Linked DNA regions of Mytilus edulis. The protein of the gene in region 2 interacts with the protein of the main gene of each other region in a pairwise test. Links are inferred from orthologs where the notes say so. Each region holds a gene or a part of one and is shown on either strand. Other genes may lie near its edges. The genes, in order: nck-associated protein 1-like and cytoplasmic FMR1-interacting protein 2-like.

What was found.
Region 1: the proteins of cytoplasmic FMR1-interacting protein 2-like (region 2) and nck-associated protein 1-like interact in binary tests that used the Caenorhabditis elegans proteins (3 or more experiments, as listed by UniProt). The link is inferred for Mytilus edulis from reciprocal best matches to the Caenorhabditis elegans genes gex-2 and gex-3.

The regions. Positions count from the first base shown.
Region 1 is NC_092350.1:74,781,131-74,790,094, forward strand, and holds the start of nck-associated protein 1-like, read right to left. Parts: upstream 4,790-8,964; 5' UTR 4,694-4,789; coding exon 4,589-4,693; intron 1-4,588. UniProt on the Caenorhabditis elegans protein: Rac effector required for tissue morphogenesis, cell migrations and egg laying. May play a role in egg laying and in yolk protein clatherin-mediated endocytosis by oocytes during oogenesis.
Region 2 is NC_092351.1:9,970,928-9,979,891, forward strand, and holds the start of cytoplasmic FMR1-interacting protein 2-like, read right to left. Parts: upstream 5,849-8,964; 5' UTR 5,665-5,848; intron 2,547-5,664; 5' UTR 2,538-2,546; coding exon 2,328-2,537; intron 1,796-2,327; coding exon 1,718-1,795; intron 965-1,717; coding exon 863-964; intron 1-862. UniProt on the Caenorhabditis elegans protein: Required for initial steps of body morphogenesis. May play a role in egg laying and yolk protein clatherin-mediated endocytosis by oocytes during oogenesis.

The DNA.
Region 1 (8,964 bases), on a different chromosome or scaffold from region 2:
TACAAAATATTCAAATATATAATGTAAATGATTCAAAAGATCTTTTTATTCCAGTACATGCTTTAAATCTTAAAATTCTGCAAGGGTCTCTCTATATATGTTCATGATGTTGATCTCCTTTCCCCATTAACTTATTTAGTGCATCATGGTATACCCTTTGTTGGAATTCCAAATTCATAGTACATACACAATGTGTGCATAATACATGTAATATACACAATGTGTACATAGTACATACACAATGTGTGCATAAAAGTGACAAAAAAGTTCAAATTAAAATGTGCAAATATTTCTCAAAACTAATAAAAACTTGTACTGCTAAGTTCAATTTATTTGATGGAAAACATACTGTATAAAATATGGAAATATCACAATTCAATAATAAATATTATTCTATAATCATGATAACTAAAATTTAGTTTATTTTAATTTTTCATAAAAAAAAATTAATACTTTACTTCGATTGGAAAACAGTTTAAAAAGTAAGATACTGAACAAATTAATTAGGATAACACATTGCATTAACCATTCCCACAAGAAATTGCACTTGGTCTTGCACTGTCTAAGTCTAGTATCTGGTAGTTGACATCCTTAATTTATATATACCAGTTTATCGCTATTTTGTGCATTTTTCTTTTGATCTTTTTTTTGTGATAATTTTCATATCATGCTTCTCGCTTGAGATGGAAAAATTATCGCTAAAAACTAAGGAGACCACGTGGCGTTGCTTACGAAATTGACATGAAATTGACAACGTCGTCATAGGTAAAATAGCGATAAACAGATTATCATTGGTCATCTCAACTCGATTGCTTTTCTCACTTTCGCTGTACCAGCTCAAGCGAGAAAATCAATCTCGTTGAGATGATCAACGATAATCTATAAATATCAAATGCTGTTTTACTGTTTTGGCTGTTCTATCAGGGTGTCTTAAGGTCATTGAAACAGCCAGGTTAGGAAAATACCCTTTAGACCAAATTTAGAATAAATGGCTAACATGGCTAAGGTAAGTGAAAATTTACACACTTTCAGTATAGCTAGAGGATTAATGGCATAAAGGACCTTGATTCGAAAAAATTAAAAAGTCAAACAAAGAATACCCCCACCCTCCATAAAAAAGAGAAGGATAATGCTTTGTTTTGTTTATTTTAAGTACATACTCTTTTTTATCTTCGTAAAGGTCTAAATCATGTCTTTTATACATTGTATGTCTTTCAAGTTTTGCAGGGACTAAAAAAATAACACTAATGTACAAAAAGAAAAAACAATGACAGACAAAAATCACTTAATCTAATGCTACAAATAGATTAAAAAAAAAGTATAGCAAACAGACATGCTGACAACAACGCCATCTACTTACAGACATCTGTTAGGTCATGTGATGAAAAACAAACTGTTAGTATATCAGCAAACCATTTGTATGCAGAACTTGATTAACAGACAAAAGAGGAAAGGTCCTGAGCATCTGGGTTAGTCTCTCTTTGCTTAGGGCCAAACAAAAAAGTATTTGTGTTTACACTGTACTGTCACATGCTGATAAAACAGGGTAGGTACACGAAGGTACATATTTTGTAGGGATTTTCTTTCTTTCTTTTTTTCTTTCACATTGAGTCTAGCTATGGGAGCAATATTGTGATTCTAACAGTGCTAAATAAAAATTGGCCAAAAAAAACTTTAGGGTAGGGGATAAAATTTAGGGTACAATGTAGGTACATGTAGGGGTACAGTAAACACACATACTTTTTTTTTTGCCTAGTCAGTTCATACAAGGTGATTTGATCAAATATCACTTTTTCTTCTAATAATACATACTGTACATGAAGATTCATTGAAAATGATTTAGACCAGGAAGATAAACAAACATATAATGAAGGTTACTTTTTTTTTAAATCAGAGAGAAATGATTTCCTGCATTGTCAGTATTTTCCCTCGACATCCTCGTAAACAGGGAAATTTGCAATACTATCTTGTTTCCAAAATTAAAGCATTACGGCCCGGTACATCCATAACATAATCTATAAGAAAACCAATTCAGATGGTATTTCATTCATGAAATATAGCATCACATTACCATGATGTTAAAAAGCCCTGGGATAAACACTGATTGTAAAATCCAAACAACAACAAAAAAAATTCACTATACAGCCAATGCCGCCAACATGTTTTCCATAAAATTGTGCTCAATACCAACTGTCAATATAACTGTTAAAGCTATCCCGTCAGATATATAGTTAAAAAATTTATGAATGTATGCAGATTATTTTCACTGTGCATTTTTCTTGAAAGTTCTCTTTAGATTATAAAAATTGACAACAAAATTGCATGTTATAAACCAGCCAGTTGCAACCATGATGTTCTAGCATGTCCAGGGCATTTCCCTATCATTCAAAATTAAGTATGAAATTGAATGCACTATCTTCATAACTGAATATAAAACATGATAAAATAAGGGAATAAAACATACAAAAGAAGCTGGCACTTCATACAAATGGACGAAAGCCTTGCCTTTCAAAACACCATGCATTCGTAAAAACAAATCTTTCAACACAAACAACTATTGCTTACATCCTTATATTTACTGAATGCCTAGAACCAAAACAAAATGTCAAATAAGTTTAATCAAACGAACTACATGTAAATTCAGCATGCAAGCAACAGTGATTTGAAAAGCTCTTTTTCAATAGCTGAAAATTATAAACAAAAGCATTGAAAAAATATCATGAAAATCCTGAACTATTTATTGACTAACATTTTATGAAGAATTTGGAAAAACCTTCTGAATATGATTTATTCATTTTCACCATTTGTGAGTTTAGTTTTGTTTGATCACTATCTTGCCATGTAAAAATTATTTTCTCTTTAATTCACATTCATTTTTCTGCATCTTCAATGATGTTGATAGGTTCACTACTCATTTTCATTCTTTTTCTGCAGGGGAGGTTGTTTATTTTCAGTTCGAACTATGCCAGAATACCATTTATAAAAACCCTCCTCATCCACCCCACCCATAAAAAATGTATCCCCTAAATACACAAATCTGTATACATTGTTTCAAATCTCACAATGTTTGAATAAATTGTCATGTATATCATGTATATTGTCCATGATACCAAAAATATGAAAGTTCTGAAAAGCAGGGTTTTTTTTCTAAACTAAATTAATTGTATTTTAATCTAAGCAATAATTATTTACACATATTCATTCATTTTTAATCTAAAAGCAGTTAGTTATTGATACTTCCTAAAATGTAGTTTACTACTTTACTATCTAACAAAACAAGTGCCTACATGGCATAGGGTAAAGTGAAACATGATACATTGTAAAACACTTGTTTTCTTAAGCATGTTTTAAAGTGTAATTACGTTTTAAAGTGTAATTACACTTTTTCATCATTTACAAACATTTATTATTGCCTTTATGTTATTTAATTCTCTACATTTACATGTGTATGAAGTCATCAATAACTGCATGCAGGTAAAATGTATGATGGAAAATAAAATGTTTATTTGATTTAAAAATTATGAATAATAATATGGGTGAGTCATGAATTTTTTATGACATTAGCTATGTATATATATATATAGCACTGTGCAAGAAAATTTACAACAAATTCAAAAGTTGTTTATAGGTCTCAGTCTTATGTTCATTGTCCATGTTGTCTAGTTAAATGTTTTAAGGTTATTTATATCTGTTACCATAGACATATACCCCCCCCCAAAAAAAAAGTGCAAGAAATTTCTTGTAAATTTGAAGTTCATACTTTTAAGCTGAGAAAATTCATTAAGTTTTGTTTGTTTGTTTCTCATAGACTTAGTCTTAGTTGTACTGAAAAGTAATCTGCTTATTTGTGGCAAATTCGTCAGTGGGTCTCATTTGAGCTTAGGTTTGACCTGGGATTGCTATTAATAGACCACTTTAATTTCCAGTTTGTCCGTCACTGTTTAAAACTTACCAATTATGCATGGCTTTATGACCAGATAGATGGGGTTGCCTGTATCCTTGCACTATAACTTACATCCAGGGTCTTAGTGATTGTCATTGTGCAGGATAAACTCGAAATAATGGTTGTTCTGTAGGGACTTATTTAGGATTCCCTAATGACAGTAGTGCTGATTATCAATTATGAGAATTCAATTTGCCTTTTAATTCGTACAATATAGCATTATAGTTTTCCAACCAGTAGCTCAACAATGGAAAAGAAGTGACGACACCCCTAAATGCACAAATGGCGTTCACTAAAACCAGTTTTTGACGGAAATGCATTGAACATGTTGAACTCGAAAGTTGTCTATTAGAATCGTGACTTGTACATGTCAAATTTGTGTGCATGAAAAAGGGAAAAAAAATCATCCTTGATCTGACCCCATGTGGGACAATTATCTATTTAGTAATGGTATGATGATAACATTTATAATTTACATGGCAGTGTACTCTAAATCCAAAGTTAAAAATACATCAAAGACACAGGGTCTTCAGCTATTTTACACACTGACTAAATTTAAAATCTTGTTTCTTCTTTACCAAATTTACACAATTTTAGAAAAAGGATCTATGCAGACTATGGCATTTTTGACTGTCAAAAACAAACCTTTTTGATATTGTAAATGCGTGTTAGCATTCCACGACCTCGCTCGTTCATGATAGTTAGTTTTTCTGCCAGCTTCTGCTGGCTTGGCATCATTCCTCGAGACATGTTTTCTGTGTTTTATGAGGGTAATTTCGCTAATAAGAGATGTTTAGATATTCTTCAACCATTGTATACTTCCTTAAAAGACACTTCCGGTTATAACAAACAAGAGGCTCATGTGGTTAGTGAGATTATCTCCCCTGGTTAAACAACTGGCATTTAAATTCTGATAATAATATCAACATGAAAGTGAAAATCACCCGTGTACAATCACAACAACAATATATAATGATCATGATATTGTGAAAGTAATTTTAAAACAACAAGTGAATCAGATAAAGTCTTAACTCTCATATCTTAATGTTTTCTTTGTTTTTTTTCTTTTAGTCAATTTTTTTTTTATTCATTTTAATATCCTATTTTTTTATTATGTAAATTGAATAGGATTTATTTTTATTTTTTTACAGTGTAATCCATTGTATTCTTAAATATTACAAATATCTGAAAATATGGCACAAAATAATTATTTTAAACTCAATATATAATTTAAAAATAATTTTTTATCATACTGAGAAGAGTAGGATATCATATCTAAATGAAATGAAAGATATGTTTTAGATTTTAAGCATTGACTAATATTTTGTTATTTTAACAAGTTTTTTAAATTCATGTAATATATAAGCCCAAGCTGCTGCTTCTTCTTTTCTTTTTTTAACATCATAAACTCCCATTTACTGAAGCATTTATTATTTATGTAATTTTATTGTCACTGACATGAATAAGATACACACATCATCGTCACATGTAAATAAGATAAGCTTATGATAATAAACAAGTTAAAAAGCAATATATGTATATACAACTCTAAAAGTCACAACAACAAAAAACCAAAAACCATATACATAGTGTGCTGTACATAGTTATAAAAAAAAAAAATATCCACAAAATTACCGTCATATATACTCTAATATTATTAGAGGTGTTTCTATCTATAGGAAGCTTATACAAAGAAGAAGAAGTTAAAAAAGATAAGAAAGTATTCATTCTGACGGGCGATAATTCAGATTAAAGATTATATGAGACAATATCTGAAAAAGTCTAATTTTTGGCAATATCTTTATTAGATCCGAAATCGAAGAACACACATCAGTGTGGATCTAGGAACTGTTGTCTGTAATTCAAACGATTGTTAAATGTGGTAACAATTAATAAAAATGGTATAAAAAAATCCAGTTCTTACCTGTTACCAAAGTGATTCAATTTTGAAAAGTTTCTAATGGAAATAAGGAATAGGTTAAAGACACTATTTGTGGTTTACTGGTATATCCTGCAATAGTTTATCAAATGCCAATTATTGATTTTAGCATTTGCAATACAAAAGGTTTAGAAATATCCTAAAATATAGTCAGATATGTCGGTAACATGAAAGTATCTTGAGTAACAGGACAACGGTAACAGGACAGAGTTGGTAACAGAAAGGATTTTTTTCTCTCAAAAAAATGCTTTTTCTTTTTATAGTTTAAGAAAAATACATCATTTCAGATTGGTCACAATTGGAAGATAACAGCAAACAATGTCATTTATCCTTTGAAACTGTATTTGCAAGATGAAAAATCTGCCTAGGTAATGAAAAAATAAATTCCTTTCTGTTACTATTTACTATACTAAAATTGCACAACGTTCTGCTAAATACCTATTTTTTCATTCAATATACTGTATATTATTTTGAAATTTATTTAATATGGTGATGATAACTTATTAAATGACATAGATGGCATATAGTACATTAACTTTTTGATTCATCAGTGAAATTGTCTTGAACATCCTTCCTGTTACTGATTATGGTTATGCTGTTACTTCCAATCAGGTAACATGACAGAACGTAACAGAAAGAAATTACGCAGTACTTTTTGTTCATTTACTCGAATTGCGTATAAGTTTACTTCCATCTACATGTCAATTTGATAAGATACTATAAAAACACAGGTACTGGTAAAGTGCTGACAATGAAATATTCTCAGAAGGTACACAAAAAGGTTGTAACAGGAGAGAACAACAAAATTATTTTTCTCCAAATTCTGATCTTTGGGGAGTTCAGATTTTTTTTAAAAACACATGTACTGGTAAAGTGCTGACAATGAAGTATTCTCAGAAGGAACACAAAAAGGTTGTAACAGGAGAGAACAACAAAATTATTTTTCTCCAAATTCTGATCTTTGGGGAGTTCAGATTTTTTTTAAAACTGGTTGCTTTTCACCTAAACATATGGAGTCATACATTCAGGAAATGATGCTCCTCACATTGCATTACAAGAAATAAATTTTTGGTCTTTCAAACATGTCCACAGGTGGAAAAAACCAAGCGGTAACAGAAGGGAAATTACCCCTCGGGACAACATTTAAAACACCCTTAAAAATGTAAAATTTTCTTACATGCTTTAGTTATAACAAAACCAGACCAGTAAGGGAGAAGTTTTTTTATATAATCTATCAGATTTGTGAAAATCGGAAGGCTGTTTTCTTAATTTAGATATTCTTTGAATGATTTATTTTTCAGAAAATAACAGGGGACAACATGATTTTTTTTGGGGTGGGGGGGGGGGGGGGGGGGTGGGGTTGACCATTTAAATTTAGAAGAAATGTTTAATTGGTTGCAGTTGGTGCATTATATACTCTAGTTAATACTGTAACTTAAATTTTTCCAAAAAGATGCCTGAATAAATAAATAATTGCTCGTAAAGTGTGGGACATTGAAATAAGACTTTTTCAGATATTGTCTCATATAACAAATTCCTGTCAATGTTCATTATATTTATAGTATATTACCCGATATCAACATCTTTTTGAAAATGCCAGTATGGGCAAAACACTGAAAACTTGATCATACTGAAAACTTGATCATGTCACGGTAAAATATGCAATCAACTATTTTTCAAGGACTTTCGACGACGCCCCTCCTCTGAGTATTTGCTTTGTTTTATGATGGACATTTTTGATTTAATTTATGTACATAGTGACAAGTCTGTAATTTATGTTATCAGTGAATACATTTTCTTAATAAAAAAAAACAGCCTAGGAAGATCTTGAAGGCTGAGTCAAAGACCCAACTAACTGTATATATAGTGTCTTCAATCGTTGAGGACTTTCTTGAACTGGCAGTTTCTATAGCTAAACAACGGAAGTTTATATATATTGTAAATATATAGTTTTCATGTGTATTTCAAGTTCAAAGTTCTTACAGTTCTGAGGTGGTTTTTTTCAGACCCGTTAATCAGTCCTATTTTTTAAATCAACCTCTCAGTCAAATCATGGCGTAATATTTTGTAGTTTCAATTTATATATTTTGTCTTGTAGAGAGTTCTGGTAATGTGCAGTTACAAGAAGGAAAATTACACATCAAATGATGCAGAAAACAACAACACAACGTGACAGTAAACCCGAACCTGGCCCGGGCATTGAAAAGACATCACGGGAACATTGTGCAAACTACAATTTTGAATAGACACGTGTAATAAAACCGTCATACAGATTCTCTTTTTTAAATCACGTTGCTGGAATTTTCAATCCATGCACACACTAGAAAATAATAGTAAAACATATTGTTATATCAGTAATTTTTCATTTTGTAAAACATATTGTTATATGGGTCCTTATAAAAAAAAACCATGCAAAACTATGTTATTGCATGGGTCTTTTTAAGTCACAGACATGAAAACATATCAAAATAACACTTGCATATGTTAGATATGAATGTTTTGTGATACACAATATACAGTTTACAGTATGAAATGTTATAAAAACATCCCTAATGTTTTCTTAAACCCTTGGAGATAGCCAGAATTAACGGTTATTTTTTACTATAAATCCTTTCAGACTTGAAATAGGACTATTATTCATATGATTTGTTTTTTTATTTATCACTTTTTTTTGCATTTTGATACATACAAACATTTTTTTAATGATTTATGAGGTGTATGTTGGTTTTATAATAAAAAATTTCACCAAAAGGAAATGTTACATTTTTTAAGTCAATGGTGTAACCAAAGGACAAATTAGTAGGATACGAGTTATCTTTCGCAAGATTTGGGCATTTACAACAGTTTCTCCCTTAGCAATATTACCTGTAAGGATGTTTTGCAAAAAAAAAAAAAACAATTATGTTGAAAATTTACTGAAAAAATCTTAAAAGTAGGTAAAAGCTATATCATAATTGAAAATAGTGTCCATGGTGCACCCTTATACAAATCTTTTTTGAAAACATTTCCTGAACTTTGAATTATGAAATATATTGATCATAGAAACATGAACCAGGAACACTGAACATATAGAATAGGGGAA
Region 2 (8,964 bases):
TCAAATAACATACAAATCATTAAGCATGTTTAGCAGTATCTGAAACAATTAAAACATACATTCTCTACCTTATTCTATGAATAATTTACCAGTCAATACTCATATTTATTATTTGTTGTTGGCTGAATGTACAGTGACAAAAAGTATAAATAACTCATTAATATTCAAGAAGAAAACAAATTATTGTACACACATATGAAGGTACAGATTGAGTACAAAGAAAATTTTGTTATTTCTAGGATGAAAGTTATCATTTTTTTTGAGGATTTATTTTAATTGAAAAACATAAAAAAAAAAAGAAGATTCCAAAGTGGCAATAATAAATGCAAGCCAATAAGCAGAAATTACGGTGACAATACCAACTTTAGTATTCGCTCAAAAACATACATCATTAATTCTTTCAAGGACTACACAGAAGATGAATGAGATTCAAGAAAGCTTGAATTTAAACGTTTTAATTATGAGGTAAATGTAACTTCCTGAAAGATGTTCTAACTGATTGCCTAAAGTATTTATTTGAATAACACTTCTTTATAATATCTATAAGAAACTATGATAAAATTACAGGAAGTGGTGTTATCCAAATCTGAAATGTCAAGGTCATTGTTACAGCTACATGTATTATGTAAAATATTATGCAATCATCTTTAAAATGAGACTTTGTTTTTGTTCTGAAGTTACAAGCAATGTTTTAATTGGCAACACGAAAATCATGTGTAAGGTTATATTTTATTTAAATCTAAAAAAACATTTGCAGCCCCCCTCCCAAATTATAACATGTAAATATTATGTTTGCAAGTATACTTATAAAAAATAACTTATGACAATGCTTTAAACTTCTTATTTCAGCTCTTATAATTACCACAAAATACATAAATTCCATAAGTTTTGACACTTGTGGATCCAGGACTTCCACAATCTTATTGTAAATCTCTGATCTGTTAGGTTGTTCATTACTTTTCACCTGAAATACAAGTATTTTTTTACAGCTTCATTTATAGTTAAACAATAATAATGGCTTACATCCTCAGCGTTTGGTGTATAGTCATCACATTGCCAATGTACATCTCCTTGTTTAACTATTAGAATTTATACTGTAGTTTTATTGGTCACTAACTAGTAAAACTTTTAAGGGTACTGCTTAAATCAGGCCCTCTTTTTATATTTATTTATATACATGTTTGAAATATGATCATATCATTCCTCAGAGTTAATGCCCTTCAATTTGCATCAGAGTGCAAGGTTATTCCATGCTTCTGACCAACAAGGTTAAAAACAATGGTCTGATTTTTGTTTATTAGTCAAATTTGTTGTAAGGAAATTAAAAAAAAATTGATGAATGGATCTCAATGGTTTTCCATACTTTTTTTTTTAGAAATGAGACCCTGATCTGATTTTGGAATAAAATCAGGTTTTGATGATATAAACATGTTTATTTTCTCAGTGAATCATTTTACATTTTGTGATGCTGGACTTAAAAAGCTTACTATAGTATAAGACAACGTTTTTCTCATTCATGAAGGCTGTACAGTGACTTACAGTTGCTTCAATCTATGTCAACCAAAATGGGACTGACAGACTAATTTACTACTAATGAATTGACAGACCAGTAAATGTAATGCCCCTCCTCCATTACCCTATGGGAATTGATTTGTTAATATACATGTATACTTGAATCTTAAAGTTCAGTATATGTGTTATCATTTATTCTATTTACCTGTGGTAAGGCTCTAGAACAGCATCTCCATGTGTATAATATTGCAGCAAACTCTTGCCCTTTCTCTAATAGCTTGTTCTGTAAAAATATATGATCAAGTTTATACAGTGGCAAAAATTCAAAACAACTCTGGTTACCTTTATCAGGCTGATCTATAGTACAATTCAGATAATTTTCAGTCTTGGTGGTAGTAGTTCACAGCGCTGAGAATTATAGATTAGGCAAACCTCATAAATGATGAGCTTGCCTTTTTTCAAAGAATATTTATATCAACATTATTGGTGCTGATTGAAAGTGTTCACATTATTGCACTTCAAATATGATCCTGTCCCAAGTCAGGAGCCTTTGGCCTTTGTTAGTCTTGTATTATGATTTTAAATTTTAGTTTCTTGTGTATATTTCAGAGTTCAGTATGACGTCCATTATCACTGAACTAGTATACATTTTTGTTTAGGGGCCAGCTGAAGCACGTCTCTGGTTCATGAGTCTCTCGCTGCATTGGAGACCCATTGGGTGCCTTCTGCTGTTGTCTGCTCTTTGGTCGGGTTGTTGTTTCGTTGACAAATTCCCCATTTCCATTCTCAATTTCATATGTATATATTGTACATACCAAATCTGCATGAACTGTGGCCTCTTCTATATACTTGGCAACCCCAGTGACATAGGCATTTCTATCCTCAAAATTAGTGTCAAAGTTAGCTTGGTAATGGATGGACAATGACAGGCCTTCTATACAAGGTTGTTGATCAGGTAAAGGCAATTCATCCAGTACATCTACATTCTGTAGGGCGTCGGTCAGGGATATCTTGTCTCCAGACATTTTTCAAAGCTAAAAAGAAGAAAATTAATTTCTAAATGTGTGGGATGATAGCGTCATATAATCATATATTAACAGAGATAGGTGAGGCAATGAGTTTTGAAGAATTCAAGTAGGAGTTACAGTACTAGTAGTAGTATGAATTAATGGTAACTTAGTACATTTGACAATATTTAAGGATTAGAAAATCATTTTGTTGAAAATGTTGAATTAACACCAAGGAAAAAGTCAAAATTTCGAATTGACTAGCAACATTACAAGTTCAGCATATACATGATATGCATTTTGTACATGTATGTACATCGAAGGAATATCAATAAATGTCATCAGTTTGTGTGTTTTCCTCTTATCAAATATCTCCTGCTGGTAGTATGACTATGAACAAAAGAAACAAACATGTTAATGTAGCATTGAAATAATACTCATTATCTTTGAAATGTAATAACTGATCTTAAGTACAGTTTTGTATTCATGATATTTGAGTACATTGTATTTGCCCAATTGACTGTGAATTACAGATGCATCCTGTTGTGTTGAACTCGCTTGTGCTAAAATCTCTAATGAGTAGAACTAATTTAAAAGTCTTAGTAAAATTCTGTATGATCAATGCATTTTTACCACTGATGGGTAGAACTTGGTTGATTTGAATACTTGGTTAAATCAAGTAAATTTTATAGTCCATTTGATATAAAATTAATGTACATTGACCTGAGGTATTGAGATTCAAAAATATGAATTTTAATAAAATTTATACATTTGTGTCATTGTAGTTTCATAGAAGCAAAAGGGTATATACAGTTTGGGATCACCAGTCTGTCCTGCTTTTTTTAGGGTGCCAACATGATATACTTTATATTGTAATGCAACCTTGTCGCTAATTCATGAGACCCAAAAATAGGGGCGTCCAACAGGTCAGGAATAACCACCAATTGGTGGATTATACCTCAATTGACGTATAATCCACCAATTAAGGTATATTATAATTGGTAAGGACCAATTGACGTATAATGCAAATTTTTTGTAATAAAATACTAGTGTGAGATAGGAGCATGATTTTGCAACTTGCAACCTATTTTATGACCCTTATTGAGTCCTTCAAATTAAGTTTTGTCAAAGCCTTCTGCATCTCTTGAGAATGCATGTGTACAACAATTCTTTTGTTGAAACATTTGTACTACATGTATTGACCATGATTGACTTTTGATAATTGAATTCAAGTATTAACAAGTCAGGGGACTTACTTAAATGAGTGATTTTCTAAATCACTGATTCAAGTAACATTATTTCCATAAAGGTTGAAAGTAAGAGTTGTCTTTCTTTAATAATCACCTATTTAAGTAGTACAAAATAATCACTAGAAGAAGTGATTTAATTTTACTGTAGCTTTAAATATAGAATACTAATGGTCCAGGGACTAATTATGTTTCTAAACTTATCAGAACTAACATCCATGTTGTCTAGGATGACTAGGTCATTTCAGGTGATGACCTTGTACTGAATCGAGGATAATGACATAAAACTCACTTGTTTAAGTATCATACCTCAATTTCCTTCCCAAAAATCACTCCTTTAAGAATCATTATTTTAATAACCCCCACTAATTTCAACACCCCGAACAGTGAAATTTTTATGGTGAACAGTAAAATTTTATGACATAATCTGAAAGATGAAACCTTGAACTTTACAGGAAAAATACTCCCACTGCTGGGAAAAATCTGTTAAGAAAGTATCAGTTCATTATGTAAAGCCATTATTATAGCATTTTTTCAACTAAAATAGAATTTGCAGCTAAATGATAGCATCAAAGGCATAAACCTTGATACTTAAAAGAAGCAAAAATTCACTTTTTTCAATTTTACTAATGAAAAGATATTTTTTAAACATAATGGGTTTAAAATTTTGGTAAAACTACAAAATCACAATTTGTGACAAAACTTTGAATTTGCTACTCAAATAAGTGATTTAACTGACTGAACAAAGAGCTCCATTCACCTGAGGAGTTGTACTCATGATCACATGACCATGATGACTGCAGACAGTAAATGATGTCCATACACCTTATCGCTATTTGTCCGCCATTACTGGATATCACACAGGTTCCCGTAAAATGTTGACATGACAATACAAAATATATGACACCACAATCATGACAATGGAAAAGTGATTGTTGTGTGCGTCAAAAGTTCAAGCGGCTGGGTCAGCCGGAGATAGCGATAAGGTGTATTGACAGGTGATTACACTTTACAGGTAAATATGCCAATCAAGAATTGACAAGATACATTTGTACATGTAACAATAGAAGAAACTGAAAATACAATTATTGATTAAATGCAATATGTTATGTCACTATATATACTAAACTAGGAATGTTTGACAAGTTTTCATACCATAATATGATTTCAAGAAAACAATGCTTCATTTGGGTAGAATAATTTGTTTTGAAGAACAAAGAATTATACACCAATACACCTTATCGCTATTTGTCCGCCATTACTAGATATCACACAGGTTCCCGTAAAATTTTGACGTCACAATACAAAATATCTGACGCCACAATGGAAAAGTGATTGTTGTATGCGTCTAAAAGCTGCGGCTGGGTCGGCAAGGATTAGCGATAAGGTGTATTGGTCTATACCATTAATGTCAATTGGTGGATTATATGTCAATTGAGGTATAATCCACCAATTGATGGTTATTCCTGACCTGTCCAAAATAGAACATCAACAATAAGTAAGGAAGTAAGTAAGTAATGACTTTATTTAAAGGGGGTAACTCAATTAGCTAAGCTTTCACTAAATTATCTACCTTGTTGCCCTTGAGAAATTATAACAATTCTATCTGAGAATTAATCTGGATCTCATAGATCTGGTTCCTACCTTGCATTAACCTACTAACGGTTACGTTCAGTGACAGATACATGTGAGCCTACCCGAAATTATATTGTTCCTCAAAGAAAAATCTCGCTCTTCCTCCTATAAACTATAAAAGAGGAAGAGCTAGAGTTCGACAGGATTGATATTTGATACTACTTTTTGAATGCAAAATGTCGACTTGACTGCAAGTGCACAATCTATATAAATAATGTTTTACATGTCCCTGTTTTGCTTATGTCGTTCATCCGATTAATTACCTTTAAACTTCACATAATAAGGAAATGTCAGTTTTCATTTTTTATCATTTTTGATAACTTCCGGATTTACTTGACCATAGGGGGCGCTGCGAACAAAAGCAACTGACTGGTTACCTGCGGCTATTGACTGATCTTCTTTGAGATTTGAACAATAGGTAGTCAGTTTATTTCCCATTGAAAAACTAATTTCCCTACCATATTCGGAAGTGCAACGATTACCGTATTTGTACTCATGCAAATGACATGGCGCTGTAAAAATAACATTAATAATTTGATCATAACTTAATACTTCAATTATTTCTTTACTCATTCTAATTTAGAAACAAATAGTTTTCCATGTGTGCAGGGGCGGATGCAGGAATTTTCGAAAGGGGGGGTGTTAACCCAGGGCACCCAGGGCAAAGGGGGGGGTGCAAAACATATGTCCCGATACAAATGCATTGATCGGCAAAAATAAAGGGGGGGTGCGCACCCCCGGAACCCCCCCCCCTGGATCCGCCACTGGTGTGCATACAGTAAATTTCTGAGTTTTGTTGAAAAAAAAGTAACAAAAATTTAAGGCAACAGGAAAAGATGGTATCTATCTCTTCAAAAGTACTAAAATTATCTTATTTGAATTATCCAATCCAATTTCTAAACTACTGAATAAATCATTTGAATCGGCTGTTTTACCAGATAAATTAAAAGAAGAACAAGAAATACCGACTCTACATAAAAAATACACTCTTGATAAAGGAAACTAAAGACCTTAAATTGAATATTGGAAAAGGTTTAAGATCAGAATAAATATGTAGTGCTGACTCTCAGCTATATAAATAAACGTTTTTACACTTTTGGTATTTAGCTGAATCTTGCCTCCGCGAATGACCTTAAATCTACTCCGAATCACCTTTTGACGTTGAGCAACAATCACTTTTAAATTGTGACGTCAAATAATTTTAAATTATGATGTCAAAGTTTACGGGAACCTGTGTGATTTTACGCAATGGCGGACAAATTTGCATACAAGTGTAAATACGTCTATTTATAGACTTGTCCAAGGCTTTTGACTGCCTACACCATGACCTCCTCCTACTAATATTAAATCCTATGGTGTTTCCACCTACTCTCTTAAACTTTTGGAAAGCTATTTAACTAACAGAAAACAGTGTGTTAAAGGAGGTACTAATTTAAGCTACTGACAAACAATGTTTAAAAGGTGCCACAAGGTTCGATATTAAGGCCTACATTATTTTTCAAATTTTAAATGACATTTCTTTATTTTATTCATAAAAGTGAACTCTATAATCATGCAGATGACAACCCCCTTTCATATGCAGATAAAGATTTAGATAAATTAACTAATACCAAGGAATTGTATATTTAAATATACAATTCCTTGCTAATACTTCAGAAGATGTGGAAAGCAAAAATTTTGATAAATTGGTTCTCAATATACAATAAAATAAAATGAAAGCTAATCCAGAAAAATGTCAAGCAATACCTGTAGGTAAAAAAACTAAAGACAAAAACCTAAATTTGAATTAGAAGGTAATGAAATAGAATGTGAAGATAACGTTAAACTTCTAGGTGTAATAATAGGTTTTAAACTAAATTTCAATGAACATCATAATCTTTCAGTCAGTTTAATTGAAGTCTGGAGCTGGCATGTCAGTTAACTGCTAGTAGACCTTTTTAACATCTCTCGACACCTACAGTTGAGAACGACTACGACAGGTAAAATGTGAAGGGTAGTCTCAAAAATAAAAAAATAAATGAGATCATTATTAATTTTATTGCTTTCAATCATTGACAATGATAAAACTTTCATACAGAGTCCAAATGACATGATTTTGTTTTAATTTGTTATAAAGAAAATGATAGACTTTAAGTCACATTTCATCTTTTAGACATTTAGCTTCTAGCTGTCCTGGTTGAATTTGGAAAACGAAAAGAACAAATCATGTTCTATTGTAGTTGATATTTTAAAATTAAACAATGATTATGTTGGTTTACAAGGGCGGCACATGTCTGTTAGTTTTGGCCTTGTATGCCTCAATAATGTACTCAATACTTTGTATCATTTCAATTCACCAATTTGGTGTTCCACTTGAATTCTGTATTCACCAGTCACTGCTTAAATGTTGTAGCATTGAAACGAGGGGTCTTTTATATTTTTTTTCAAAATTCATCTAGGAAAAACTTTACCTCGAACAAGATATCTTGAAGCGGAGAAGACCGTCGTTGATAATAATAATAATAAAAAAAAACGTGATCTTTTCCTTTGACCTAAAAAATCAATATGTAATTATGTAAAAATTGAAAATGTACATCGACTGAGGTGAAGATCGGTGGAAAAACACAAAGTTGAGCGTGTTCACAAGTGTGATACGGACGGACCAGTATTCTTTTTCATTTTTGAAAAACATCATGAAAGCTTTTACACCAACAAATTAAATCGTTATTGGCATGCGGCAAATATTTGGCGAAAGACTCACATCATCACAAAAGTGAAGAGAAAATGGGTTAGGATTCTGAATGATTGGAATATTTGTTTAATCAATTCAACATGAAATGTCGTGCAAATACATACGAAATAAGAATATTATATGACAGAGACATATGTGTGGTAGACGTTTCCCCTTTCGGGAAAATCCAGAAATCGAGAAAGGGAAATCAAGAAATTGAGTAATCGGGAAATCGAGAAATAGAGAAAGCAAAAACGCAAAATTGAGAATTCATTTCGCGTTTTAGCGTTTTCGTGTTTCCTCTTTCGTGTTTTGGCGTTTTTGCCTTCTTGATTTCTCGATTTTTCGATTTCCCGATCTTATATATTTCCAATTTCTGGATTCCCTATTTCTCGATTTTCCGATTTCCCGATTTTCTCAATTTCTCGATTTCTCGAATTCCCAATTTCGCGTTTGCAAAATGAACGGAGAATTCACGAAAACGCGAAAAGGCGAAATAAATGGCCGCATCCGGCCACCATACATATATTTATTTATTTATTTATTTGGTTGATATATATTCTTAAACTATAATAGTCAAAACAGTATAAAACCGCCAATCCAATATGTTACGTGATGATAATCATGATGATTTTTGTCTTTGAGACGACCCATCCATTTTACCTGTAAACTGTAGGTGTCATTAGTCGATGTCGAGAGATGTTGAAAAGGTTTACTAGTCTGTTGTTATTTATGTATTATTGTCATTTTGTTTATTTTCTTTGGTTACATCTTCTGACATCAGACTCGGACTTCTCTTGAACTGAATTTTAATGTGCGTATTGTTATGCTTTTACTTTTCTACACTGGTTAG